4 linked regions of the Lonchura striata genome follow. The protein of the gene in region 3 interacts with the protein of the main gene of each other region in a pairwise test. Links are inferred from orthologs where the notes say so. Each region holds a gene or a part of one and is shown on either strand. Other genes may lie near its edges. The genes, in order: CCNH, UBXN11, PSMA1 and POMP.

Region 1 (7,975 bases), on a different chromosome or scaffold from region 3:
AGATGTACTTATGGGTTTCACAGAAGGGAAAGAAAAGAGTGATTTAAAGCAACACCTTAGCCCTTGTGCATACCCATGGCAACTGAACAGTTGCAGCAATCAAACACAGCATGTTACAGCATGCCCATTAGCTGTCAGTTCAGTGTAATTTCAGTTGACTCTCAATTTCTACCATATTTCCACTTTCTTCCCTGTCTAACCCTCAAACTGAGTCTGAAAACCCTAAGCTGTTCTAATTAAGGGAAAGCTGTCAGGGTTTTAACTTCTTTTAAAGGAATATAAAAACCAGACAGCAACTAACTGCTTTCATCACCTATTTGTGAAAATGAACAGTAACACTTCCATTCTAAACCATAAAGAACAGATGAGTGCTAGCAATCAACAAATACAAAATTCTAGTAATTAAGAATGTCTAAGCAAAACAGTTTTATACAAGAAGCAAACAGATTGTTTAAACCACACATATAAGAAAATAATACTACCTTTCCATATTAATTCCTGCTCTTGAGCCACTAGATAATATGGCAGTGAGAGCAATCTGTGAGGGAGTAAAGAGCAGATACGCATCTGTCAGAGCCACTCGATTAAGGAAGTCATCAGCTGTTTTCCTTAAAACTTCAGGATTTTCCAGCACTGGATAGCGAGTCTAAAAAGTAATGATTTAGAAAAAAAGGCAGCTGTTTGTCATTCTTCTTCATGAGTTCAGAATACACAATTCAACAGTATTTTATATAGCTAAAAAGTAGCAAGTTTTTAGCTAAAAAGTAGAAGTTTTTATTCCAAAAATATCCCAAATAACTTAAAGACCACAAGTAAGACAACTGTCTTTCAGGTATTTGTCTATCACTATGAAAATTAGATTTTTTAAATCACAGGCACAAAAGGAAATTAAGTTTTTTAAGTCAATGCATGACAGACTTGTATCACTTTACTATACAAAGCATATAGCATATCGGAGAGTATTACCTTAATATCAATTAGAAATCCCTCAAATGGTCTGTATGGGTTGTGGATGATCAGATGGAAGTTCAGTTGCTGAATAAGTAGCAGTTCATATTCTAGTATTTGTTCAAGAGCCTTTTCCTGTCCAGGAGGACTTTCTCGAAGGTTACCAACAAACTGTGCACTAGATACATTAAATTCATCTACTTTACAGGCCAAAAATGTGCATGTTAGCCTTGAGGAGGGAAAAAAAAACCCAAAAAAGCAAATAATTGACATATGCAGCATCCATTCTCCTACTGAAAGTTCTGATCAGAAAATGTGTATTTTTAAATATGTTCTGAATACAGCAAAAAGATAGTGAAACTGACCATATTTTGTCTTTACTCCTATTTAAGTTCTCAGATTTTCTTTCTTAGTTTTTTTTTTTTTACGTCTTTACAAATATAAAGAAGTATTGATAACTCACATTATTATCCGAGGATGATGCTCCATCACTGAGTTATTGAGGTAAAAACGTTTAAAATACATGCAAGCTGTACCCTAAATAGAAAAAAATAGGGAGGTAAAAAAAAATGGATGAAGAAAAAAAAAATAAAATAAAAAGAAACTCCCCTCCCAAAACGGGCAAGTTTGGATATATGCTACAGGCACACAGGATACACTGAGGCACTAAGACACATACAGCCAGAAATTAAGTATTTCACACACACAGGAATGAAGTACTTCAAAGTCTTTTTTGCCTGCAAGAACCTTATACTACAACTGTAATACAAAACAATTTTCCTTGTTTTTAGACATGTTTTAGAAGACAATGCCTAAAAAGCCAAGAGTCCCTTTATGAAAATAACCTGGTATTAAAATGAAATTTAAAAATCAAAGGCTGAAAAAAATCATCCTCAAAGTTGCAAGCAATTGAAACAATTTGATTTTTTACATCAGTAAATTTTGCAGCATGTTTATCAGCATGAAAGTCGATGCTTTCCAAAATTAGACTCTGCAGGAGCTAGTTCTCAAACATCAATCTGGCTTCACATGCCATGACAGTGACTGTTACCTTTCAAAGACACCCTCAAGCACAGTACTCAACACACATGCTTGGAAAAGTGAGGACTAATGTAGGACAATGTAAATCATACATCTTAATGTCTTAATGAGTGAGGCACAATTTCACTCTGTTCAGCTCTATGTCCCCACTTCTCCCTTCTGAAATACGGTCTTCTGCATTCAAGACATCTAAGTTCAAGGTAATGTTTTTCCTTTGTAGGGTAATGTTTTCCCAGTACACGATCCAGCTTATTTTGTGGTCAGAGAAGCACTAATGCTAGAGAAACATCTGAATGACAGCCCAAATTTGGGACCGTCTCCTTCAGCGACTGGGAGATTGTTTCATTGTATCATCAAACATTAGCACCAATCATCTACAACTATTTTGTTTCTACTCTTTGCTAAGGGGAAGCAAAACAATTCAGTCACCCAAGCAAGTTTAAGAGCCACAAGCAAAAGATCACGTTGAAAAGTATCAGGTTTTGAAATGGCTCTACGTGTCAGAAAACAAGACAACAAGCTGCCACAGACTGTAATGCTAGAAGGAGAGAAGAGAGATGAAGAGATTTAAAGATATCCGCGCTCTCAAGAACAAGCCAAGAAGGCAGCAAGCGAAGGAATAAGGAAGGCCGAGGCTACGGCTCCTCCTCGCCTCGCTTACCACAACGGACCGCGGCATCGAGGGCTTGAATGCGGCACAGAAGTCCAGCAGCCTCTTTTCGTAGTACTTGCATAGCGCCAGCTCCTCGTGTGGCTCCAGCAGCACTGGGTCACCCTCCGGCACCTTGGGAGAAGCAAAGCCGCGCCTGAGTTCGCCGCCCCTGCCTCCCCGCTCCGCTCCGCCCCGCGCCCGCAACCTCCGAGCCCCTGCGCACCTTTCCGCTGGCCACCGCCCTGGCTCGGGCCCGGCGGTTCCCCTCAGCGCGGCGCCGCGCCAGTTCCTCCTCGCTATGAAAGAGCCAGTGCCGGCGCTGCGTGCTGCTGTGGAACATGGCCCCACAACATGGCCGAACCCGCGCGCGGCACGCCGGGATCCGTCGTAGCGTGTGGGGCGCGGCGGGGCGGGCGTAGAACACTTCCTCGTGGAAGAGGGATGTTTCCGTTTCCTTTTACAAACTTTTAATTTTTAATGAAGGGCCGTGGCAAAACAGTATGTTGTAAACTTTTGCATGCTTGTGTTTCCTTTTCGGTTTTATTAATGTATACTTGCAAATTTACATTGCACTTGTGCAGCCTCACGTCGAGTGCTGGGGACAGTTTTGGGCACCGCAATGTAAATCAGACGTTAAGCTACTATAGAGTATCAAGGATGATGAAGGGTCTAGAGAGGAAGCTATATGAGGAGTAGCTGAGGTCACTTGGAATGTTCAGCCTGGAGAAGAGGAGACTGAAGGGAGACCTCATTGCAGCTTACAACTTCCTTGTGAGGGAAGAGGAAGGGCAGACACTGATCTCTTTGTGGTGACAGTGACAGGACTCGAGAAAATAGCATGACGTTAAGCGTTAAGTCAGTGGAGGTTTAGGTTGGATATCAGGAAAGTTTTTGACCGACAGGGGAATTGGGCACTGGAACAAACTCCCAAGGGAAGTGGTCTAATCACCAAGTCTGATGGATTCAGTAAGTGTTTGGACAAAGCTGTCAGGCACGTGATGTGATTCTTGGGATGTACAGTGCAGGCCCAGGAGCTGGACTTTATGATTGTGGTGGGTCTCTGCCAAGTTAGAATATTCTGTGATTCTGCTCAGTAAAGTTCCTTCAGTAGTCTCCTGCTCTCCCCCAATAACCACTATATATAAAATCCAGTTATACTATTAAGGAAGCAGCATTTCATGTTTAAGCTAGAAATTTTAGATATTACAGTGTAGTATCTAATATTTGTATTTGACATATGTGAGGAAAGTATGTAAAACATAATTGTGTGGACAGTCACAGGACTTGTAGTTAAAAATGTTACCCAGCAAGTAACATAAATTCTTTTAAAAGGAGTTTATGCAGCAGTGGGAGAAAAATTCTTTTAACCTTAGGACAGGTGTTTGTGCATTAATCCTATCTACGATTAATGCTTTGTTTTGTATCATACAGTGCTTACTACAAACACTAAGGATAAATGTGGGTTTAAGTCTCTACATCTGTGACTAATAAGCCTCGTGCCACAACTAGTGTGGGAAATTATATAACTTTACTCATAATTTTTCTAATAGATTATTTTAATTATCTCTTGTAATTAATCATTTTAATTATTTTGAAGCAATGTAATTTTACGCTCTGTCATATGCCACTGTAGCTGGCATTTAGCAATGTTGTCATAAGCTGGTATTGTGGGAACATGGTTTGGGGAAATTACTGAAACTTTAAGTTTCACTGAAACAAGTGAATCAACACTTTGATATGTTTCAATAATCTCAGACCAGGAAGGATGTTAACAAAGCCTTGCAGAGACATCTATTGTTGAAACTAGATGCAGGTAATGGAAAATTCATGAACAACGAGGACATTTTGCAGAAACTCAAGATAAAGAAAAAACTAACCAAGTCAATGCATGACAGACTTGTATCACTTTCAGTTCAGCAATTGTACTGGATGTGCTGTTTGGGAAAAAGATAAAAACACTGGAGAGCTGGGCTAATTAGCATGAGACGTGAGAAAACAAATAGGAGATAGAATACTTACTAATGAAGAGAATTATGGAACTTACAGTCAATGAACATTCATTTCTTTATTTGTTACAGTGCATAAATAGTGAAAAGTTTTGGAAGTGGATATATGTGTTAGGTGAAGCTATCCCCATGTACCAAACATATTGAAAAATATCAGCTTTCTAACAAAAAACTGGTTAGAGAGTTTGTTTCCTGTTTTTTAGTGACAAAGGGGTTCTTTGTGAGCTGACATGACGAAGGTCCTTTCCCTAAACTACACAAGAAATAACTGTATTATCTGCATAGTCTGAATCCATCAATACTTTGCCTTAAATTATAGTAATCAGCACATCCAGCATATAAACAGTTTGAAATCTGACCAAATCTGAGTTCCAAGAGCCATATATACAAAAAATACCAAAAGGGTGCTGTTGTGCATCTGATTGTGACAGTTTCACAAATTAGAGACTCATAAATAGTGCATGTTATTCTAATACTCAGTTTGCTGAGTATTATTGTTAATACATTATTTTACATCATCACTCTAAGAGTAAAACGTAAGAATAGGAATGAAAATTTCTAAAGAGAGCAGTACAGAGGGTAAAGCAGATTTTTTTTTATTTTTTAAAGACTCCATTTCTTTTATGCCTTTCACTTTTCAGAATCTTTACTTCAAAGGTATGTCGGTTTAAGGATACCAAACAACTACGGACTTCACTGATTGTAGTTCTTCTGTAACTTTAACTGGTATGGTGAATTATTAGTGATTCTAAAATTCAGTCTGAAAGTGGAAAAAGGCAGATTTAGATAACATATCTGGAAAAGTAATTATAAAATACCTTTGTGTTCTTGGTCTGAGACCAAGCTATGAACAGAACCTAAAATTTACTGTTTCTGGTTCTCTGTTGTTTTTCTCACAATAGTTCTCTTTACCCACAACACAATTTTGGTATATTATCTTGTAGCCAAATAGGTTAGTAAAAAGAAGAAATAGTGCAATGTGATTTTTGTGCAAGTAATAAGGTCTACAAAGAATGGTATAGAATACACTAATAAAGTGCAGAGTGAGTATAAAAATTTTTACGACATTCAGAAAGATAATTACAAGAACTGAAAGGTTTTTTGGAAAGTGAAGCTATGTAAGTTATTAATCAGTTGCTCAACTCAGTAATAGGACTAACTTTATGTGTTATTTGGTCTGGACGTTTAGAGAAGCTCTTATTCTCTTGAAGTTGAGAAGCTGAGGAATGAGAAGTTCACAGAATTCCTATCTGTGCTGGAGGCTGGGCGGAGTACAAGAGGCTTTGCTCTCACAGATATCATTTCTGAGGTGGGCCAGCAGAAGGGAACACTGGACAGTTCAGCATTGTTGGAGAGCCAGGCTTTGAATTGTCACGGTCCGCCACTCTGATGCCAGCCTCCACAGTTCAGTGATGGACAAGGGATGTCTGTCCCAATATTCCATTGCCCCTCTGCATATGTCTTGGGCTATTGCAACTCCGCTTTCTACTTCTCTTCTTCTCACCCATGTCTTCAGCTCACCATAGGTATTTCATGCCAGTCATCAAAGGCTCTGTCTTTTCTTCCCCTCCTCAGATGCCCTTGCACTTCACTTTCTCCAGTCCTGCCTCTACTGACATAAAAAACTCCACCCCAATGACCCTTTTCCCCATTGCTTCCAACATGAATTGATCTGGTCCCAGACTTGGGATTTGGGACAGCGTTATTTAGGCAATGTCAAACTTAGATGATGTTGCAGATACAGCTGCACTGACACTTTTCTCCTAAAAGGCTCCCCTTCCCAACATGTCTAGTTCTCCTGTGCAGGTTATCTGTGCATTTTGGCCATCTCTCGGGAAACACTCCTTCATGGATTGTGAAATCCAGCCATTCCTCATAGTGTCATCTGAAATTTTTCCCTGATTTCCTGAACCCCCTGTGCTGAATTTGTGATGATCTGTGATGGACCAAACTTTAACCTTGCTGTTTCTCCACAGCCATGTATCCATTAACTCAGATCTCATTGTTTGGTGATGCCCTCCTTTCTGGGGTGCACAAGAGGGCAGAGGGCAGCCTCCAACTAGCAGTATATTTCCAAGAACCACAGGGGTAGACATCATATTGTAACATTATTGGGTTGTGGAGGTGATAGTAATTCCAATAATACTCCTAGGAATAATCATAATTGTTGGAATCCTTGATGCTGAGAATTTTCAACTTTCTGTGCTGAAAGGCAGAGACTTGCAAGAGAGCACTGCATTTGACTTGAAGCTGTGGAGAAGACTTCCAAAATTGATTAATAGCACTGGAATTCTTAGTTGGTTAGAAGTGTGTAATATCACAGGATGGAAAACTTAGAGTTTGGGGTTTTAGAATACAGAAATAAATATAAAGCAAGATACAGGTTGTAGGGAGGAGAAGGGTTGTTCTTCGCCTTCTTCTTCCTTCTTCTTCATGGGTTTGGGTGATGTTTTGTAATTAGACAGAAAAGTCTGCATTGCAGGATTTGAGGTATCAGTTATTGGGTTAGAAGGGAAAATAGTCCAGGTGTCATTTCCTAATTGGATAGTTTAGTTTTAAAAGACCTTGTAACAAGAGATAGTTAGCCATTTTATGCTTTGCTAATGAAAGACTGCAGAACTCACAGCTGTGAGGTTGTTTCACTGATAAGAAATAATAAACACGTGAGTCCGACATGAAACACCGTCTCAAGTGCCTTCAATCCCAACCTCGACAGAGGTAGAAAAAACAAGCAGAGGACCCACACATAATCCTGGTGGTAGATTATGACTGTGACCTCACATCCATTGCTCTGTAAAATCAGGTGCTGTCAGAGCCTGGGCCAACCTGTGGGAACAAGTACACATGGCCACAGGGAAGGAGTGGAGCTGCCCCATCTGCTGCAATGCACCAGATGACATTGCTTACGCAATGCCCTGCGGCCACCAATTCTGCCTTGGCTGCGTCTTGCGTTGGGCAGAAAGAAATCCTGCCTGCTCACTCTGCAGAAGATCCATCTTGATAGTGAATTTTTCTGATCATGGTGGAGATGACAACCTACACTATGTTATCACACCTCCCAGAGAGTTGCCAGACACCAGCACCAGGCAGCAGAAGCTCCTAGAGGCCTGGCTGAAAACAGATCCCCTGGCCCTGCAGATTCCCTTGTTGCCTGTCCACAAGGAATAACAGCCCCTGCTCAGCAGCAGGCTGCAGGACCAGAAGCCATGGGTGGCATCCTGCCAGAGCTTTGGGCAGAACTTTGCTGAAGACAATGGAACCTCCTGGACCCTGTGAGGCCATGGCTGCACCAGGGGCTGGGGATTATATATGGGGGCAAGTAGTATGA
Region 2 (7,117 bases), on a different chromosome or scaffold from region 3:
GCAAACAACACTCCCTGATGGAGCCAGGCTCTGTGGGTAAGTTACTACAGCTCCTGTGTACACAAAGCACCTGATTCCATTTTCCACCCACTCTGTGTCAATGTCATGAGATCAACCAAGCCTCAAATGTGGTTTGTGAATTCTGCAGGAGACAGCTGCTCCTCCTGAAGGGCTGAGCCATCAGGTTCTCCCCCCAGAAGGGTGTACAAAACACAGGGATATAAAACCAAACCTTCTGCTGAGCTCCTGTTAGACTGCTCCACGTCTGTGTCCCTGAGAGGGATCGACGTGAAGATCTTGGCCCAGGATCCCAAATTCTGAAGACCCAAATCCTGAGGTTTTGATGCTTTTCTACTCCCCCTTCTCTGAGCACACGGGGGGAGCTGGGCTAGCAGCTTCAGCCCAGAGTGGAGCTGGGATCTCACAGAGGTTTACCCGGCCTGCAGGGGCTCCCTGCTGGCAGCTCCTCCTCCTGGAGTGGTTCTGTGTCTCCCAGCTGGTGCCGTGCCTCTCCAACCCACACCAGGCCGTAGTCGCTCAGGAACCGCTGCAAGAGCAGAGTCGGGTGGGCTTTGGTGCCCAGAGCTCCAGAGAACTGGAAAAGGGAGCCCGAGAGGGGTCAGCTGTGGCTGTGGGAGGCACAGAGGGAGGTGGAACAGGTTTGTCTTGGCCCTGGCAGACAGACTTCCTGGCAGGGCAGTGATAGCAGCTCCATCAGCAGCAGGGCAAAGGGAGGAGATTGTAGTGCCAGGGGAACCTCCCAAGGCTGCAGGAGCTGGGCATTCCTGCAGCCCTGGCAATCAGGATGAAGCTCACAGGAGGCCCAGGTGCTGCTCACATCCAACCTGCTCCCTTTTCTCAGAGGAGAAGGGTTGTGAGGACCAAAGGGGCAGCTTGGAAAAGGCCAAACTGGGAGTGCAGTGACCCCAAACCACAGGAGAGCTGGCTCAGGGCAGGCAGAGCAGCCTCACCTCCATCTCCCAGACCTGGCTCTGCAGCCGAAGGCACCTCGCTTCCAGTTCTGTGCTGGGCGAGTCAGAAGCATCTGTAAGAGAAAAGCTGACGTTCCTCTGAAGATCTCAAGCTGTGGATCACCTGTGCCACACAGGGCAGGGCCCCAGCAGCACCTGCCTGTGCTCAGTGAACTCCCACCCGTGGGACACAGGGGCTGAAGGGGACAATTCACCCTGCAGTGGTTTGACAAGGCTGCTGGCAGGCCAAAAGACAGTTGTGAACAAGCCTGGGGAATTTAAAGCCATGGGAGCTGATGTGAGAGGTGCTGTTGGCAGGCCTACAGTGGAACTTGCTCAGCTCAGCCCTAAGGAGCCCAAAAGGAGCAGGTGCCTGCTGCAGCTGGATCCTGGAATCTTGGCTGGGTGGCAGCACGGTGCAGCAGCAGGAGCAGAGCTCGTGTCTGTGGTTTGACAGCCACATTTGAGCTCTGTGCTCAGGAAATGGAGAGCTCACCACAGCCCTGCACACAGCAGGCTGTTCAGCCCTGCAGGAAACGTCTGTGGGCTCCGGCTGGGGCTGGGAAAGCTGCTGGATGCAGGGGAAAACACCCCTGTGAGCCACTGCAAGCTGGGCTCAATCTCGAGTTCTGCTGGGCTGGAGTCCTGTGGAGACTCCAGGGGTGTGTTTGGCTGCTCCCAGCTGCGAGGAGCTGCCTTCCTGCTGCTTGAACTCGGCAGTGTTTACTGCACTCCTGCCCAGCCTGCGGTTGGCTTCGCAGCCGTGGAGGCTCCGAAACCCACACAAACAGCTCAGGATGTTTTGCAGCAGAGTAACAGACACAAATGCCTTGCTCTGCTGCCCTGCCCAGAGCTGCAGAACGATTTTACCTTCCCCTTCCTGAAGAGTCTTTATCTTCTCCTCGAGCTCGGCGATCCTCCCGGCCTTCAGGGGCAGAACAAAGGGCTGGGTCAGTTCTGGGCTCAGCCCCTCCAGGCACAGCTGGCACAATCAGGGCTGCTGCAGCTCCTCTCCCCCACCCAGCGCTGCCCAAAGGCTCAGCAGGGCTGAACCACCCCACAAACCCCTTAATGAGCCTCAAAGGAGGGCTGGGATAAATGGAGAGCTCCAGGAGTGGGTGACCCATCTCCCGTCCTCCCTCTGCACCAGGTGCTCCTGCTCAGACCTGCGGGGAGGGGCTGGTATGGAAACTAAACCAGCATCTCTGCAGCCACGTCTTAAAAAATCCAATCTGAACAGAAAGAGGTATTTATTCTAAGATTTTAAAGGTATTTATTCTAAGATTTTAAAGGGTATTTATTTATTCCAGTCAGTGATGCAGAGAGGGCTGCTCCAGTTCCACTCTCCTGTGTGAGCAGCTGCTGTTTCAGAAAACAAAAAGGGGGCATGTACCATCACAGGAGGGAAAAAAAAATTAATTCTGAAGCCAAAGAGCTGCTGATGTCAGTGCCAGGGTGCTGAGAGTCACTGCTGCAAGAAGCCCCAGCAGGGACTGTCCCCTCTGCCACCCCAAGGCCTGATCCCACTGCTCTGTTGCTTTGTAAAGGGCTCATTTGGGTAATTAACAGCAGACCACAGATGGACTCTGAGCCCACACAAGGTCTGAGAGGTGGAATTCCTGTGGCAGAGGACAGAGCAGCCTCAGCAAGAGGCTGACTTTTACCTGCAGCTGGATTTCTTGTGCTTGTTTCTCTATTTTTTTTTCCAACAGAGAGATTTTTTCTGCCAGAGAAGACGAGAGCTCCATGTCAGGGTGAGCTGCACCTGAAAACACAAATACCTGTGAGCAGGGTTCCTGGTCTGCCACAGCAGGGAGGACTTTTCGGGTAAAAATCCCTTGGTTCTGGTTGTGTGTGCGGGAGGGCAGCCACAGAAGGGGTCTGGCCGGGGGTGTCACCGAAAAGCTGCTGGGCCAGAACTCCCAGCTCCCTCAGGGGCTTTACCCTCCGTGTTGTTTTCAGTGCTGACCCCGGAGCAGGAGCGGAGGGAGCCTTGCAGGGACCCCTCGGCCCAGGCCTGGTCTGGAAACTCACCCCCCGCCGCCATCTTGTGTACAGCCGGTTGCCACGGCGACGCGAGGCGGGCCGCGATTGGTCCGGCGCTGGTCACGTGGTGGGCGCTGGAGTTCCCTGGGAACTACAATTCCCAGCGTGCACCGCGCGCGTTCTCCCGGGACACCGGCGCCGGGAATTACCGGGAGCGGGATCCATTTTTCTCCTCAGCCCCCCTCCGCACACACCCGTCAGCCTGGCCTGGGGCTCCTCCCGATTCCCTCACCTGCTCCCTCGGTCCCTGTTTCCTCAGCCGGGCCCCGCTGGTGCCCTGAGCTGCCCCAGCTCCTGTCCCCATCCCGGGAGCCTTTCCTGGGTGTCCCCATCCCACCCGGAGAGCTCGGCCTCGCCAGCTGCAGGCGAGTGGGACAGGCCAATTGTCCCCGCAGTTTTACCTCCTTTGATGGGGCGTGCACAGAACCACAGACAGGTTTGGGCTCCAGGGACCCCAAAGCCCATCCCACCCCCTGCCATGGGCAGGGACACCTCCCACTGTCCCACATTGCTCCAAACCCTGTCCAGCCCGGCCTTGGACACTGTCAGGGAGGTTGGCTGTGCTCAAGTAATTTCTACTTGCCCGAAGAGCCAAACCGAGCCAAATTTGGTGAAGCTTTTCTGCAGCAGAGCCCTCAGCTGAGGGTGGGAGCTGCAGGGAGCTCACCGTGATGTGCTTCACCAGCACGAACCCAGACAGCAGGTGTGTGTTCTCAGCACGTTCCAGTGACTTTATTCATTTCAAACCATCTTAAAATAACCAGATCCTTTCGTTTCCTGTGCTGCAGGGCGAGGGAGCTCGGAGATCTGCTGTGAGCAGATGGAGCTGGGGGATTAAAGGAAGCATTTCCCGCTTTAGGGGATTAAAGGAAGCATTTCCCCCTTTATTTAGGATCTGTAACTGAAATCCCAAGGGATGCCTTGGCTCCAGCTCCACCTGGAGGGAAGGAGGTTTATTCCTTCTGACCTGGGCTGCGATTTGCAAACCCTCCCTCCGATCCAGGGAGGGTTTCAGTCACTCTTAGTCCTTGGTGGGTGTGAGGACAGAGAGGCCCCAGGGAGAAGCAGAACCTGAGGGGTTTCAGCCTTTCCTTCAACTTTTTAACTCGGGATGCACTTTTTCTTTTCACCTACTTCTGAAAGAACACCCACTGCAGTGGGGAATTTTATTTTTATCCTTTTATCCATTTCTCCACTGCTTCCCGCCATGGCTAGCATCCTGCGCTCATCCCTTTACACCCTTTTGTCCCATTTCTCCACTTTATCTCTATTCAGCTGAAATTTCCCTGCTCTGTCACTCATCACTGCCGTGCCAGGGAGCAGGGAGCTGCTCCGGCGCCAGGGGATGCGGAGGAGCAGCTCCACGGCCCGGGCATCCCAAATCCACGGCCCGGGCATCCCAAATCCACGGCCCGGGCATCCCAAATCCACGTCCCGGGCATCCCAAATCCACGGCCCGCACATCCCAAATCCACGGCCCGCACCTTTTTCCTCGCAGCGCGGGCAGCAGCTGCGACTTCCCCAAAACCGCGCCGGTCCCGCCGCTGCTGGGGAAGGGAGGCGCGATTGGGTGCGCGGTGCCCCCGCCGGGCTTAAAGGCTCGGGGCGAACGGGGAAGTGCCACGGGAAGTGTCGGAGCCCCGCCGAGCCCCGGCCATGCCGCCCCTGCAGCGCGCCCGCCTGCTCGCCCTGCTCGCCCTGCTCGCCCTGTGCCTGGTAAGGACGAGCCCGCAGCTCTGAAAACCGCCGTGTTTGGTTTTCTCTTTGCCTCGCACCGCTGTGGTCTCAGCAAGGGATTTGTGCTGCGCTCTGCCAGGTCCCGACTCTTCCATGCGGTTCTTTTTTTCATGCCTTTCTTTGCCCTGAGGGCACCGCTCACCTCCGGAACCCTGGCAGAGCTCTCCAGCCCATCTTCCAGCCTGGCCGTGCCCGCTGTGGGGATGCTGGGCTGGAGGGGCTGCTGGACACACGCCTGTGGTTTCCTCTGGTTGTTATCGCCCTTCCTGCTGCGGGCTCCATGGGTCGAGAGCCAGGCTGAGGACATGGGGCTCTCCTGGGTGTCAGGAATGAACCCAGCAGCGCTTTTGGGGAGCATGATGCACTTTGAGGCAGCTTTTGGGATGGTTTTTTTTCTCCTACATGTTGGTAACGATGCCAGATTTGTCTGTGCTTATTTCACTCATGGAGTTCCCCACAGATGGGACCTGCTGCTGGCTCCACGGGGTGCGTGTAGATTTTGGGATTTTCCCCTCTGTAAAGCAGGCAAAAAGGACAAGAGTGTGGCAAAGGGGCAGAGCAGAGTTTTGGGCTTCGTTCCTGCTCCTTTCCCATCTCGGGAGGGACCCTGGGGAGGGGTGTAAGACAGTGTGCTTCACAGTGGGAAACGGCATCGCTTTTCCAGCAGCCAGGACAGCGTCAGAGAGGGAAAGAAACTGCCCCGAGCTTGCCACCCTGGCTGTGCTGCATTTCACACACCGACTGCACCCTGCCCGGGCTCGGGGGTCCCCCCTGCTCCTCGCACAACCCCCACCCCTCTTTTTCTTCTGCAGGGCCACGGCCCGACACCTTCTCACCACTCCCTCGCGGCAGCCAGAGGAGCAGACACCACTCCCTGGCTTCCACTTCCCCCCTAATTTCTGAACCCCCCGGGTCAGCAGCAGGGCAGCGACTCCAGGGAGAGCTCACTTCCCTCCCTGCCTTGGGACGAGCCCAAAGCCAAGAGCTGGAGTGGGAAGGGAACCTGCCAGGGGACAGGAGGCTGTTTGTCCCGCCTGGGAAGGGGCAGCGTGGGCGCCGCAGTGCCCCCAGACCCATCCCGTGAGGGGTCTCGGGGCTTTCACCGCTGCTGTGGGGAGGGATGTCTGACGCTGTTTTCCTTGCCAGGCGCTCGGCCAGGCCAAGGACACGAAAGCGAACGCGGAGGAGCTCGCTCCGCAAGATGCCGCCGCGGCGAACGCCACGGTCAGCGGCGGCCGGAGCTCGCCCGGCGCCAGCCCCCCGCTCCTGGCCGTGGCGCTGGGGGTGCTGGCAGCGCTCCTCCTGCAGCTGCGCTGAGCCGGGGGCGTCCCTGCAGCCCCCCGAAGCCCCTCCCCAGGACGGCATCACCGGCACCGCACCCGTTCCTGCCGCCACCCCCGGCCTCGGAGCGAGCCCCCGGCCCTGCGGAGCGGAGCAATAAACGCGCCGGTGCCGACACCTCGGGCTCGTTCTCCCGCTTCGGTACCGGGGTTGGTGGGGGCGCAGCACCGGCCCCTTCTCGGGGCTTCAACCCTCGGAGATGGAGGGGCCACGCCCGAGCCGGGGGGGAGAAGGCCCGGGGGTCCCCGAGTGAGCATCCCCCGGGGGTCCCCGAGTGAGCATCCCCCGGGGGTCCCCGAGTGAGCATCCCCCGGGGGTCCCCGAGTGAGCATCCCCCGGGGGTCCCCGAGTGAGCATCCCCCGGGGGTCCCCGAGTGAGCATCCCCCGGGGGTCCCCGAGTGAGCATCCCCCGGGGGTCCCCGAGCGGTTCCCGGGGATCCCGGAGCGCTCCCGGAGCAACTCCCGAGCGGTTCCGGAGATTCCCGAGCGGCTCCGGAGATTCCCGAGCGATCCCTCAGCGTTCCCCGGAGGCTCGGGCGGGGCAGCCCGCGCGGAGCCCCAGCCAATCCCGCGGCAGGGGCTGCTGCTCCCTGCCAATCCGGCGCCGCCACCTCCCGCCCTCAGCCAATCACAGCCCGACAGGGTTAATATAAATGCTGAGCGCAGGCGCCCCGCTTCCTGTGAGGGGCGGACGCGGCTCCGGTCGTGTGTCTGTGTGAGGGGGGCTCTGTAATATTGAGCGGCTTTCGCCTTCCTCAGCGTCCCTTCCTGCCGGGCCGATCCTAACCTCTAAGTCCCCCGTGTGGCTGCCTGTCCCCCTGCCCGGACTGGTCCTGGGGCAATGGAGACACGTAAAAGACGGGCGTTTGTTGCCGGAAGCCGCGGCCGGCCCAGCCGCTGGAGCCGCCTGATGTCCCCCGGCATCGCCGGGCTGTCAGCGCTGCTCCCTGCGAGGGCCGTGAGTGCTCCGTGCAGCGACCAGAGCACGCTCCTGCTGGCAGCCCTGTCCTCTCCCCAGCAG
Region 3 (6,954 bases):
TAATAATTCTTCAGTTGTATTTTGATGACTCAAACAATTCTACATATGCTGTTTAAAGCATAACTTCTAGGCTAGCAAGCAATTTATAGCTCAAAGTACATTTTTCTTGTACAATAAAAGCATATTATACAGAAACTCTTCCTCACTCAGAGTGAAGAAATAAAATTCAGGTCCAAGAAATAGCAATAATATCCATCTAAATGTAAATATATTGTTGGTCCAGTCAAACAAGAACCTACAAATAAAAGCTATTTCCATGACCAGGATATGCTACAACAGCTCTGCTGTGTTGAACCTTGTGCCCTTGTTTATTCCAGAACTGGACAGAATGAGCCAGACTCTTCCCTGCAGCTCTCTTTCACAGGGATTATTTAAACCTGCTTTCAGCATTGCCTGCTCTTTCCTAGCCAGCTTTGATGATCAAGCAAGGCTGGTTGCCCTGCAGGCCTGTCCTGAAAAGGTCAACTGATGTCAGTCTACAAAAGCTATGGATTAAAAAAAGTAAGGAGTGGGCTTTAAAATGCCTGTAGTTGATACCTCAATTGGTCAGTAGTTTAAAAATGGAAAAAATGCCTTTGGCAACATGAATGCAAGTTTGTCTTAGAGACTGAAATGTCTGCACCTCTACTAATGTGGCAGCAAAAGAATAGGAAAGAAATTTGGTATAATTTACATAGAGAGGTTATTTTTTCCTATTTACAGTATTAATACAAAGCAATATATTTTTTTCTTTGTAAGAACTTCCAAGATCATCTTTAAATGATTCTAAAGACAAATATGTACACTTATATTTGCTGTCAAATTTTTATTTTTAGTCTTAACCTACTTGATGAAAATGTCATCAAATACTACATATGTCATACACCAAGGCTTCTAATTAATTAATTGAGTAGTCTTGTCACCATATATCTATTAATGAAGCAAATCTCTTACCTGTATTAAATCCAAATATGGATTGTTCACATTGTCAAGGCTGTAAGACAGTTCTCAAAATAACTTAGTCAAAATGCTCAGTCCTGAGCGCATTATGACAGCACTGCTATTTGTGGGCAACCACTTGTCCATCTGACAGGAGTGGCTCTGTGATCTCTCTGGGATCTATTCTTCCCCTTCTCCAAGGGGATGGAGGCACTGCCTTCATTCAGTCTGCCTCTTACTCTGGCACAGCAGTTTTCTTCTCCTCCTTTGGCAGTGCTGTGCCCAAGCAGCACAACGTGCAGCCCCTGGGAGTGCTCCCAGAGTGTCACCACTGACCTCAGAGGAGCCAATCTTTTGCCAAAATACTCCACCTAAATACAGGAGCATAGCACACAGGGGTTAATGTGGGCTGATGGTGAGTGGTATCCCAAAAAGGGACTTGCAGGAATGTTGTTTCCTCTCGTGAATCAGCAGAAGCAGAGGCATAATGGCCTTGCCTTTCAGTTGCTGTACATTAATCTCTGCAGAGCAATGCCTGTCATCGCTCAGATGTCAGATGCTGTTTATAACTCTGCTGGAAACACAGCATAGAATAAAACAGGCTCATTAGTTTCTCTTGAGACTGTATATGCATGGTTTAGGATAGCTATGCTTTCACTGCTGCTCTTAGCTCAAACATTGCAGCAGCAGCATCGGTGGCTCAGACAGTTGTTTAGTCTGTGAATTTGTCCAGTTGCTCTCTCAGTATGTGACCAAAAGACCATGATGTGTTCAGGTGCAGAGGTTTCCACAGTATAGGTATGACAAGACCCAGAAGTGCCCCCTGGGCTTGGCTTGAGCCTGCTGCTTTTAAAGACACCCCGCACCAGAACTGCAGGACGGAGAGAAGTGTTGAATCTATTCAGCATCTCTGTGCCAGCTGTGATTTGGAAAGAGTTCAAAGCCTTTCCTTCTTTATCTGCTATTTACACTGAGGACTTCTACTCCTTACTGGCATCCTTTACATGAAGCTATTCCATAATTTGAATCCTTCTTTTTACTTTTCCCAGTGCCACATCATTTCAAGGTAGGAAACAAGAGTCATGGCCAATGTTCAACGGTGTCAGATGCAGTATGGATTTACACAGTGGCACAGCAATGCTTTATGTTTTGTTCTCCGTCCTAATCATTCCTTACATTTAATTTGGACACTACTGGGCACTGAACTTGTTTTCATACAGCTATCAATTGTGTATTCATTGCTCTGAAGTCATCCTGGTTATCAGGTTACCAAATGTGAAACTAAAAAGGAGAAAATATTATTTTCTCCTTAGATTTTTTAATAAGTAGTTCATTTAAATGTGAGGATAGTTTTAGCTTTACTTTTCAGTCCTGTACTCTTTTATATTGTGATGTCTCAATGTAATATACTGATTGCTTTTTCACTCTGCAATTAGATTTCTAATATATGCAAAACACTTCCTTTCTGGTGTGATGCCTTTGTTATCTGAGCAACAGCCATTTGATTTTTGCCTTGTTGATTTTGCCTTTCTCGCCTTCTGAATCGACACCTTACACCCTCAGTTCAAATACTTCAACGAGGAATAGGCTGGGCCCTCTTTAATGCCAGCACATTGAGGTGAAATCATTGAGGTGAAATCACCTCCAACCCTCTGGCTTTAACCCTGCCTGTAGAGCTCTCGTCCTGAGCCTAAGGGACAAGAAGGAGCATCCAGAAGGAAGTGAATGACTTCCTCCCACGGTAAGCGTTTCCCGTTCCAGAGATTATTCCTGTCTCCGGCATCCCCTTGCGCTGCTGCCCTGGGAACGCGGAGCCGTTGTGCCGCCTGCAGGATCCCCGTCCCCTGCCCCCTTCCTGCTGCCACGGGACCCCAGCCCCGCCGCTTCAGAATAAATTGTTAATAGCTGGACATCTGGTGGCTCCGGGTTTGGCTTTATCTTGTTCTATCCATCTAATAAAGGGGGAAGGATTACTCCGGAAAATACTTCGGTTGTTATTTAATAAACCTGCGACAGCTCATACAGCTCCCAAAAGTTCTTCATTTCTGCAGCTATTACCAAAATTCTCCACGAAGTTAAGTTTTACAATCCTGCCTTTTGATCGCTAAAACCGCGGCTGCTGACATTCCTGGCCGTACAAACACTGAACAATGGGGAGTCTTGGCGTGGTTCAGCCTTCTATCCAAATTAATGCGGTTTTGCCAAAACGAGGGGAAACGTCTGCGTGTCGCTCTGCTCCCGTGGCCGGGGTGGATGGAGCTCTGGGGAGTCCGGAGTTCCAATATAATAATATAATATAAAATAAAATAAAATAAAATAAAATAAAATAAAATAATATAATATAATATAATATAATATAATATAATATAATATAATATAATATAATATAATATAATATAATATAATAATATAATATAATATAATACATAACATAACAAACATTAGAATAGAATAGAATAGAATAGAATAGAATAGAATAGAATAGAATAGAATAGAATAGAATAGAATAGGAGTCCCCTGTTGCCGTAGGAAGTTACTGGGGAGTCCGGAGTATAGTATAGTATAGTATAGTATAGTATAGTATAGTATAGTATAGTATAGTATAGTATAGCATAGCATAGCATAGCAAAGCATAGCATAGCATAGCATAGCATAGCATAGTATAATAATATGAGTCCCCTGTTGCCGTAGGAAGTTTTTGGGCAGCGGCACCAGGGAGAGGCTTCGGGAATATTTTACTGCAACCTCCTGAAGCTCATCAGCTTGCTTCATAAAATGCTTACACATCCTGTTCCCACACAAAAACGGTGAGGAAAGGAAGTAGTTTCCGAACCAAACAAACTTTTTTATTTATTATTATTATTATTATTAATCAGAAAGCTTAAAAATAACAAAACAATTTCGGCAATTAAAACCGGCCCCCAAGGAACCGCCTCGCTCAGGGCGGCGCGCAGGCGCGGCCCATCGATGAGTCGGGGCGCGGCCCATCGATGAGTCGGGGCGCGGCCCATCGCTGAGTCGGGGCGCGGCTGGCGCTGCCTGCCCGCCGCCCGCCCGCAGCGCTCCGCTCGCCGCCCGCCGCCGGGAGCCGCCGGGAGCCGCCGGGAGCCGCACCATGGTGAGGGCCGCGGGCCGGGCCGGGCACACAGCCCGGCACAGGGAGCCCCGCCGCTGCCCGGCCTGCCCGGCCCGCGCGGGGCAGCCGGCAGAGCGGGCGGCGGGGAGCGGGCCCGTGAGTAAGCAGTTCCCGGGCCGCGCGGCGCCGCGGGCGGGACTGGGCCTCGCTGCCGGCGGGAGCGGGCCCTGCTTGGGCCCCGGGGCACAGACCTCCGAGCCCCGTGAGGATGCGTGCGGATATCTCCCCAGGGGTCTGGAGCACCTCTGTTGTGAGGAGGCTGCGGGAGCTGGGCCTGTTCAGTCTGGGAGAGGGGATTCATTAATGCCTACAAATATTTCATAGGCGGGCGAAGAGGACTGTGCCAGACCTTTTTCAGTGGGGCCCAGTGACAGGATAAGGAGCAGTGGCCATAAACTGAAACAAAAGAAGTTTCACCTCAACATAAGGAAAAGCTTCTTTACGCTGATACAGAGCACTGGGAGTGCTGCCCAGGGGGGCCATGGAGTCTCCATCTCTGGAGACATTCAAACCCACCTGGATGAGCTCCTGTGTCACTGCTCCTGTGACCCTGCCTTGGTAGGGTTGGCCTGGATGATTTCTAGAGTCCCTTCCACCTCACAGTTCGACAAAAGGAATTTAACAAAGTAAGAATTTGTTTACAGAAAGGGCTGTTGTTGGAATGGGCTGCCCAAGGAAGGTGGTGGAGGCACCATCCCTGAAGGTTTAGGGAAGCTGGATGTGGCACTCAGGGCCATAGCCTAGTTAACAACTGGGTCGTGTTCAGTCACAGATTGGACTCGATGTATCAGAGATGTTTCCAATGTTATTGATTGTGTAGTGCTGGGATTCTGTGAAAACAACCAGGGTTTCCTCCAGGAGCACTCTCTTAGCTTATTAGGGATACTAATGAGTTTTATTTTGTTCATTCCAGTTTCGCAACCAGTATGACAATGATGTCACGGTTTGGAGCCCGCAGGTAAAACCTTTATACACTTGCTCACTGGGGTTTTAACTTGCTTTTTGGGTTTTCTCCACCTCACAGCAGTGGTATTACAGTCACAAAGGTTGTGCTCAGGTACCTGAAGCTTCCTACAGGCTGCTCCCCTCTCCCTTTGTAGGCTGTAGGTGACCAAGAAAGCCCTCAGCACACCCCTGTCTGCTGATGTATGAACCTAAGTGCTGCTTACCTGGGCCTTGTCCCCTCCAGGTGCTTAAGGCAGTTGCTTTCTAAATGTACCTGTGAGGTGCAAAAGAGATGGTGTCATCTTCGGGTGGTTGGACAAGATGATCTTGTAAAGATCCCTTCCAACCCAAACCATTCCATGACTCTGTGATCCATTCACAGAGCTATAATAAGTTGGTAGGTAAGGTACACAAAGCATGGAACAGTTGCAATCTCCCCAAAGTTAGGCCATTACTGGGTCTTTCTCTATTTTGTCCGCTAGATAATTGGGATGTTCAAGTGAGATTTACATTTGAGTTTGAAATTTTACTACTTATGAATCAGTTTCACACTGTTTTTTGTTACTGAAAATATACATTGTGTGTTCTTAAACTTACACAGGCTGTGTTGAAAGTAAATATTTTGGAATTTTAAAAGGCACTGTCAGCTGAGGTGTTTAATATTGCCTCTTCTCTCACTATGGATATTTTAAGACAGGATACTTACAGAAAACCAGAGCCTTGGAAAAAGACTCGTTTATGTATTCAGGAAAACTGGAGGTTTATTTAAAATGCAAGTAGCAAATTGTATTAATATAAAGCTAATGTATCATTAGTTTGTGGGTTTGTATTGCTACTGAAATTATTCATCATGTAGCACTATTGCATGTGAGATTCATTTTCTGTACAGTGCAACAGAGAGTGTTCTCTCCTTTCCATTCTCCGTGAAGACAGCCTTGAATATTTCCCTTTTTTTCACTCAATGCCATGATAGGTGTAGGTGCCTTTGAAGGTGTTGATGCCTTTGAGCTGTTTTCAGTCTTCTTAATGGTTGTGTTTCTCTGGCAGGTTCTGTATCACAAACTTTTTTTGTTTTATCTGTTACTTTAAAAGTTACTTTTAAAATGATAACATTCACTTGAGATTTTTAGCAGATACTGCAAAATATCAGCAACACAAATTTCTCTGTTTTTTTAAGTTGCCTTGAAAATATTAATAGTGTTGGGTTTGTTCTGAAAAAAAGACATTTTAAATTGCTGCTGTGATGCAACTGCTACTCTATCCATTCTTGCAGGTGAGGCAGTCATGTGATGCCATAATAGTTTTTGGCACTGTTAATGCAAGAGCAAATAATACTTTACTGGGAGATGTTTTTGAATATGTTAATAAAGAAAAGGAAATAGGAGATTTAAAAACTCAAAGTGGTTTCTCATTTTTACAGTCTTGCATGTCATTCCTGACAGCTGACAAATTCATGTTGGACAGGTCACAGCAATTCAGTGCTGCTCTTGGGCAGGAAATATCTTATGTTACTGAAATTCCAGTTACAACAGGGGATGAAATTCAACATTAGGGTCTTTCTAGTAGACCTAAAAAAAGAACCTTATGCCAAAAATCCCCAACAACCTATGGGAAGGTGGTATCCTGTAGATCATCCCTTGCACATTCACCATAACAGTTGCTGTGTTCCCCTCCTTGCCAGCTGATGGGATGCAGCTCCATGGTGTCATGCTTGCAGGATAGGAGTGCCTGTATTGGCTGGCTGACATAGGCTGGAGTGCTGAAAATGGGGAAAACCCTCAGTGGTTCTGTTACATGCACACGAAAGCTCCTGACCACCTCTGCAGAACTTGTAGGGACTTCATTTCCTTTGAGACCTCTACTCCTGTTTCAGACTTGACTGCAGTTGGCCAATAACTTGTTCAGAAGTTATTGGGGAATGGCTGGTGAGACACAACAATTGTGTAAGACTCATT
Region 4 (7,652 bases), on a different chromosome or scaffold from region 3:
AATTTAGATTTATGGATATTATATATATATATATAGATATAGATATATACAGTCAGACCATGTCCTGCTGTTTAACTTAGCAATTTGGAACATTCTATCAAAATAACATCTTTGCTTCAGGACAGTTTGATACATCATATCTTCTGCACTGACAAAGCAGGCACCAAAGACATTCCCTTCAGTCAGCAAGTCTGGCCTCCCACTACCTTGCACAGACCACTTGTAATGGTCCATGAGCAAGGACTGAGCCAGACAAGACTGCAAACACTTATGATAAACTGCAGGTGTAAAACACCTAGCTGGGATTGAGCAATTCATGGAAAAACATGTACGTGTTCACAGGCTGAAAGTCTGAAAATGAAGACAGTAAATCTACAGACAAAATGGGAGGATCAACCTTCACGAGGTGACAGGTGTGCCCTTGGCCTACCTATGGTGGCTGTACACACATTCTTGGACAGCTAAGCCTGACCACACAAGTCCCTACTTGGAAGCCTGCTTGGGGAGAGATGTAAGTAAGAGAATAATATTAAACAGACTTGCTGACAATGTTATTTGTATAAATAAAATTTGACTGTTGTTGAACACCTTCATTCTGTTAGAGACCCCACTCATTAGTTGCTACTATACAAAGCAGTCCAGATAACCACCCTGTTAACTTAAACTTCATAATTAGTTAAGAGTGAAGATGGCTACATTTGATGTTAAGCTTACATTTTTTTCTGTCAACTCCAGTGGGTGGCTGGGCAACAATTCATTTTTCACACTTGTAAAGCTAGAAGAACAAGTAGAAAAGACATTAATTTCAATTGGGATATGTTTTTTTAGTTGCATTCCAAAACCAATCTCAGATACAAACACCAGTCCCCAGAAACACACAACTAGCAAAGTCCAAACTACAGAAAAAGATTAATAGTGAAGCAGCAAGAAAAACCTCTAACTACAGCACTACCAGGAGAAAAAGTTTCAAATATCTTTTATGCTGGACAAAACAGAATGTGTTTTTCTTCCTTGATACCTTTCAGAAAGAGATGAAAACACTAATAAACGAAATCATTACAGATTTAATTATGTCCAAGCTACACTGTATCTCATTTTGAAGCCTCCAAGCTTTACAATGTTATATTGTACATACTTGCCCCCCAATGCCAGTTGTATGGCATTTTAAACTGCATGAGCTTATTCTGGATTCATTATCCATGACAGAGACGTAAGTATCGCACTCAGGTAAAAATGGCAAACTCCAAACTATTTTTATTATATTACTTTTGGGGTTTGTCCCAGCACTGAAATTAACCATTTACCACAGTGTTACGGCACACTCACATGAATGTATATTAAAACTATCAGATATTGCATAATTATCAATACTTTGCTGTTTATTTTCTAAAGGACAGTATCACAGAGGTAAATGCCAGTTTGCAACACACCTTGCAAAAAAACTCTATAAAAAGCCAACATCTAACAGATGCTGAAGTTCAACACTGTCTATGACACAATTCAGCAAGCAAAAGTGAAGCGTACCCTCTGCGCAGAAGATCATGACCTTCAAATAGCCCTGAAGCTGAAACATCTGCAAATGGGATACTATCCTTCAACAGAGAAGAAGTGCCTCTGGAATTCTGGAAGAAAAGAAAAAAAGGATTACTTTACTTCAACAGAACCAGACCACTTTTATATGGGCCATTAAGCCAGCCAAATGAAAGAAAGAGCTCAAAAACTCCTTAAAGTACCACTGGGCAAGCCCTAGACTTCAGCGTTTCTTTAAAATAGAGGCAAAACATCCAAATCCATAAACCCTACACTAATACTGAATTCTTTCAGAGGGTCTGATAAAAACTAAGGTGCTGACAACATTTTTGGGTCTGCTTGACCCAGATCAAGTTAAACTGACAATATACCCCCTGTTTGTTCCACCCTGGGCTGCAGGGATGGAAAGAGGCAAGTCCTAGCTGACAGGACAGAAAGGAGTATTTCTTCATTTACTGCAATACTGACACAAGATCAAATTTGGCCACAGTTTGAGGCTGCCATAAGGAGGACAAGGTGTATTCGAGCAGCCCAGAATGCCAGTTAACTGAAAGAACAAAGGAAAGTAGGAACTTGTAGTGGATCACCAGAAGTCCACAGACTTAGTAAGTACTGCTTACTGGTAACTTAGGCCATTAATTTCATTCTAACCTACCTGAATTTATCAAAGTGATTTTAGGATTGTTCAAAAAATTGTTCCTCCGATAGGGCAATGTCTAATAAACAGCAAAAGGTGACAGCAATAATCTCTGGGAGGTGACAGTGATGAGCAGCTCACTGCAAGGGTTTTCCCCCAGCAGCACTGTCAGATCCAACAGAAAAGTCACACTTACAGTTAAGTTAGTATTTCTGTACCAACATGCGAACCCTCAGTAACAAAGAGCTGTAGAACAGTCCTAACATGCCTGTTGTTCCATGCATATAACCCATATACCAATTTACACACTCAGCACTGACAAGAGACTGCTGCAAATGAAAGCATTAGATACGGTACCTGGGGGACGTGACAAGAGGGAAAACCAAAGTTAAACTCAAGGAGAAAACCACGAAACACTCCCCAAAAGCAACACTCCCGAGTCACCCCAGTGCCCGTCCAGGCAGCCCCAGCGCCGCTGCCCACCGCCGAGGGCCGAGGCGGGACCTCCTTCCCGGCCCGGCCCACTGCAGGGAAGGGCTTTAACCACAGCCGCCCCGAGGCCTCCGCGCCTCCCGGGGCCCGCGCCCGCGAGGAGACCCGCCATGGCCGCGCCGGACCCCTATGACTCAGCACGGCTCCGCTGCCCCCGGGGACGCCAAGAGGGTGACGGGAGGGGTATCTGGGGGGGGCAGCAAGTGAGGTCCGGTCCGGTTTGGCTCGGCGCAGTCGAACACAGGGACACCACCACCCACCCGGCGCCGCCGCTCCCGCACTCACCATCTTGAGCCCCTGGACGCGCCGGCCACTTCCGCCCCGCCCGCTCACTTCCGCCCGGCCCCGGTGCGTCACCGCGCGGGGCGGGGCGGGGCGGGGCGGGGCGGGGCCGGGGCGGCGGTTCCTGCCAGGGGCGCGGGGCTCGTGTGAGGGGCTCGTGTGAGGGGCTCGTGTCCCGGCCTCGGCCTCCTTGGGCACGGCTTTCTTACGCGTAGGTCTGTGCCCTGTAAACTGAGCGCGCTGCTCACTGAAGCACAGAAGCAGTTACGTGGGAAAAGACCTTTGAGACCAGCGAGTCCAACCCGTGGCCGAACACTGAGGCTGCCTCATCCAGTCCTTCCCTAAACACCTCCAGGGACAGTGACTCCGCCTGGGCAGCCCATTCCAATGCTAAATTACCCTTTCTGTGAAGAAATTCCTCCTCATGTCCAACCTAAACCTCTCCTGACAAAACTCGAGACCGTTTGCTCTTGTCCTGTCGCTTGTTACCTGGGAGAAGAGGCCGACCCCCCGCGGCTGCACCCTCCTTTAAGGCGCTTCTAGAGAGAACTTGGGTCACCCCTGACATCTTTTCCAGGCTAAAACTCCAGGTCATTCTCGCATGCCAGCAAAGCCCAGCTGTCTCAGTGCCACCGTGGTCCCAAGCAGGAGCTGAAGCTGACCAACACCTTCCCACAGCAGCCGGGGGCAGCCGTGTCTGTGGTGTCTTGGTGTGGAGAGCTTTTCTCGGTCAAACCCACCGTGTCCCACTCTGCCACAGGCAGCAAAAGCTGCTTGGGTGACACCAAACTCATCACAGTGCTGACAGCCTGAGCTGATGGGACCAGGCAGTGAAGCTTCCAGAGAGTTTTCCATATATTTCAGTGCATAACTCCACATGTGTATCTGGGATGTTTATTTTATATATTTCTTCTGAGATGTGTAGCTCATTTAATCCTTTAACCTTTTCATTTGGATTACCCTTAGTGACCCAAACTGACCTGTTTTTGTGGATTTTAAATGTGGCAATTAAACGTCATCTCTCTATCTCACGCACACACACAGCTACAGAGGCAATATTTAAGCAGGAATTTTCTATGTTTTAATGGAACTTAGATTTGTAAAAAAAAAGACTGAAAAATGAATACACTTTATACTCTGTTTTCCTGTTTCTTGGACAATATCTGTACTCCTCTTAAATCCCACCCACCCCTCACATTCTCAACCCAAATTCTAGCCCTTTGTATTTAGGTCTTAAGTTTAAAGCAAAAACTTCAAAAGAATGAGAATGGAGGACTAGAGTTTTTAAAATCATTTTTAGGAAAATGAGTACCACAAAGGTCTCTCTGATCTTATAATTATAATGGGTACTTGGTTATTGTGGTGTTGCATTCATTATTATAGAATAGATGTGAATACAAAAAACAAATCAAGTTCCTGTTTAACTGCAGCATACAGAAAGCTAGTTTTTGTCACTAAATGTATTTATTTATTGACTGAGTTTGTTGATCAGGATATGACTGTAGAGATGAAACATCTAACTTTCAAAGTCATTCTTGCAGGACACAGACAGGATGCAATCACTCCATGTACATTTTTGACATCACTGCGATCCACAGTCTAGGCTGCATAACATAAAAGGGCATACATTGCAAGAAAGAACTGGTTTTCCTTTAGAGGCTTTCACACTAGGGAACACTTCCAGACATAAACACAAATCACACACGTATTTTTTTCATCAGATTACCAAGTATTTCAAATTGAAGCAAGGCTTGATTCCTTTCACAAACAACTTTGCTTTAATGATCTTACAGCGAGCAGCTCGACAGTGGGTGATTGGGTTCCTCTCTGCAGCCCCACTGCAAACAAATAGGAATTGCACAAGCAATTGTCAGGCTGACCAAACCTGGGACCAGAATGGGAGCCCGTGGTGAGCGATTTGACAGTCCAGGAGCAGCTGCTCTGCATGTTGCAGGCAACTTCAGGGCTGCCACCAGCACCGGGGTCACCAGAGAGCAGACAAGCGGCCACGGGCACTGCATCAGGCACAGCAGCCCCGGCACTCGGCGCCCTGTGTGCTGAAACCTCCCTGCTGGGAGCAGTGCTGGCTGCAGGGCTGCATACTCTGCCTGAAGGCATCTCCCTGGCAGATGGTAACACGATAGAAAGTGACATGCAGTGACTGCAATTGCTAAAGGGGCCTTCTTGTCTGGGGACACTCTTAAGAGGATGTGGATACCTTAAAATTAGTGTGAAAATAATTATAGCTCCTCTAAATTGGTGACTTACATAAAGTTAGGATAATGAATTTCATATGTTGCCTTTAAAGATACACTCCAAATGTTTTGGGGTTTTCGGATATTTTTTTCTCATCACTTTGTGTAAAGGAGGTCTAAAATATATTACTCTTTCATATGTTTTCTGGATATTTATTACCACAACATTTTTGGAATGTCAAATCTGGTCTTTTTGGTTTAGCTGTGTACATTCACTAAAGATTTAAGCTACCTTTAGACTTAGACATTTATCTTTTGGAAATGAGGAAGTGTTTACTCTTTTTAAAGAAAATGATACTGGTCATATGGTCTTCTATCAGTTAAATTGGAATTAAAACCCAAAAAACCTCATTGAACAAAGCTTAGACAGCCTGACCTAAAACAAATCCTGGTTTCAGTTACTCAGCTTTCTCTTGCCTGGATCCCAGCATGGCATCATTTCATGGGAGGTCTGTACATTTCCCGCTGAAACCTCCAGAAGAAAGGTGGATTCAAGAATTGTCACACAGAGGCACAACATTAGCTCAAAACGTGCATTATCATAGCAGCAGAGTTCCCAGAAGAGAGCTGGCTTCTGCAGATCTCCTCTTCCATGGGTAAAGAAGTCTGATATGGAGCAACCTTTACTACCCAATCCTTGTCCTGAAAATTTTTTTGTGGGGGGCAAAGGCCGCAAAAAGAGTATGTTCTCCAAGGAAGCTTGTCTTTGTATCCATGTTTTTTTTTTAATATTGATGCAGCTTTGTCACTTTTCAAAATATAATTCCTTTGACATATCAGTGTCAGCAATGTGTTCTGACTACGTGAAGCTCTATCAGAAGAAAACCTTTATCCTGTGGGACTGGGAAACTCTTTCACTGGTCTTTGTCAACAGCCAGTTATAACTTGTTAAAGTGAAAGTACTTTTTATTTGTTTTTTAATCAAATCAAATAAACACATTTTCTTTGATCTTTAAGAACTCCTTTCTTGTTAACTTGCTTTATACTTTTATGTTTTGGCATTCATTGTAAATCTAATTATTTAAAAAGTTATTTTGTTTTACATTATTAAACCTTTTCTGAATTTAAGATAAACAGAGGCATGTTTTGTTAAAGATTAAAAATAAATTTCACACAAAACTGCAAAACGTAGCAAAGATAATAACATGTAGGCGTCAGACTGTTCCAAAACAAGACTCTCTAGGGGCTCTTCTGAACACACGGCTTCGTTAAAACCATGTTCTGAAAGAGCTCAGGAAACCCCTGTCTCTAACCCACCCTTTCCTGAAGCTGGTGAAAGTATTTAGAAAAAAGTTACTGTTGCAGGGAGACAAAAAAAAAAAAAAAAAAAAAAAAGAAATCCCACATATTGCTGAAAGAGCTTATTATTTCCTGTTTGTTTACTAGCAAAATCTAGTTTGTAGGATCTTCTTTAGTCAAAACTTTCCCATCCTCATTGTTCAAAAGCAGCAAGCATCCAATAGGTGACCAGAAAGAAAGCATCAGGATGTCTATATTAATGTAGACTTTTTTAAGATACTGAAACATCTAGTGGGGAAATAATACTGACCATCCCTCATTTCATTATCTGATTTATAAGTCATTGGTGAAATTTAAGTGGAAAGATAATATATCTGTTTTCAGTTCCTTTTTTGGTGGGTCAGACAAGGGAAGCCAGTTGTGTTTTGATCCAAGCAATGTACTTGGATTAAAAAGGAGTCCTTTTTCTCTAGAAGTGATGACTTACTTTGCAGCTTGTCAGTGCTTTTGTAAGTGTAGCAGTACTTTTTTTGTACTAATCCGTTGTTTGTACTGCGTGAGTGTGGGCTTCGCTGCGCTCTTTGTGCAGGCTCAGAAAAGCAGGATGCTGCGCTGGGAGAGCCGGTCACTAGGGGATGCTCAGCACCCGAACACTCCGCGCCTGCTTCCCACAGCGCTCGCCAGCCGCCTCTGTTCAGCCTCGCTCAGATACTCCCGCCTGGGTTTGAGTACTTTTGCACTCGCAGTGCTGTGAGAATTATGAATCAAGATCAAAAGATAAAAAACATGGTATGCGCAACAGCTGAAGCTATATGAGCAGTACTTGATGGAATGCTGCTGGGTTTATTTCCCAGTTAATGGATTGATAACTATTTTCAGTAAGCTCTGTTACCTCCCTTTGACACTATGAAAGTAATCCTGCAGGCTGAGTCCAACGTTTAGCCAAGCGAGTGTTCACGTAGTCAGGACCTCTGGTCTGAAATCAGGTCCCTCATGAGAATTCAAAGGAAAATATTTTTGTGTTTCCCCTCAGTCTGGAGTGATTTTTCTCCCAGGAGCCTACCCACTCTGAACATATAGGTGAGACTAAGAGCACATTTCCTGTGAGAGTGTTTTCCTACGGGAAACCTTGAATTTAATTAATGGTAGTCACAGCTGAAAGAATTGAATGGAACATTACTTCCTAGTCCTGCTACTGTGCAGGAAAAAAATCCCAC

The links.
Region 1: the proteins of PSMA1 (region 3) and CCNH interact in binary tests that used the Homo sapiens proteins (3 or more experiments, as listed by UniProt). The two-hybrid records come from large-scale screens. The link is inferred for Lonchura striata from reciprocal best matches to the Homo sapiens genes PSMA1 and CCNH.
Region 2: the proteins of PSMA1 (region 3) and UBXN11 interact in binary tests that used the Homo sapiens proteins (3 or more experiments, as listed by UniProt). The two-hybrid records come from large-scale screens. The link is inferred for Lonchura striata from reciprocal best matches to the Homo sapiens genes PSMA1 and UBXN11.
Region 4: the proteins of PSMA1 (region 3) and POMP interact in a two-hybrid assay, tested with the Homo sapiens proteins (2 studies listed by BioGRID, with this or other methods). The link is inferred for Lonchura striata from reciprocal best matches to the Homo sapiens genes PSMA1 and POMP.

What each region holds. Positions count from the first base shown.
Region 1 is NC_134642.1:53,251,944-53,259,918, forward strand, and holds the start of CCNH (cyclin-H), read right to left. Parts: upstream 3,008-7,975; 5' UTR 2,982-3,007; coding exon 2,865-2,981; intron 2,774-2,864; coding exon 2,651-2,773; intron 1,486-2,650; coding exon 1,412-1,485; intron 1,178-1,411; coding exon 967-1,177; intron 647-966; coding exon 483-646; intron 1-482. UniProt on the Homo sapiens protein: Regulates CDK7, the catalytic subunit of the CDK-activating kinase (CAK) enzymatic complex. CAK activates the cyclin-associated kinases CDK1, CDK2, CDK4 and CDK6 by threonine phosphorylation.
Region 2 is NC_134628.1:342,869-349,985, reverse strand, and holds the start of UBXN11 (UBX domain-containing protein 11), read right to left. Parts: upstream 3,019-7,117; coding exon 2,916-3,018; intron 2,737-2,915; coding exon 2,636-2,736; intron 1,897-2,635; coding exon 1,842-1,896; intron 1,046-1,841; coding exon 972-1,045; intron 548-971; coding exon 436-547; intron 1-435. UniProt on the Homo sapiens protein: May be involved in the reorganization of actin cytoskeleton mediated by RND1, RND2 and RND3. Promotes RHOA activation mediated by GNA12 and GNA13.
Region 3 is NC_134608.1:50,396,894-50,403,847, forward strand, and holds the start of PSMA1 (proteasome subunit alpha type-1), read left to right. Parts: upstream 1-3,951; 5' UTR 3,952-4,033; coding exon 4,034-4,036; intron 4,037-4,967; coding exon 4,968-5,012; intron 5,013-6,954. UniProt on the Homo sapiens protein: Component of the 20S core proteasome complex involved in the proteolytic degradation of most intracellular proteins. This complex plays numerous essential roles within the cell by associating with different regulatory particles.
Region 4 is NC_134604.1:68,760,818-68,768,469, forward strand, and holds the start of POMP (proteasome maturation protein), read right to left. Parts: upstream 3,007-7,652; 5' UTR 2,948-3,006; coding exon 2,945-2,947; intron 1,623-2,944; coding exon 1,525-1,622; intron 776-1,524; coding exon 715-775; intron 1-714. UniProt on the Homo sapiens protein: Molecular chaperone essential for the assembly of standard proteasomes and immunoproteasomes. Degraded after completion of proteasome maturation. Mediates the association of 20S preproteasome with the endoplasmic reticulum.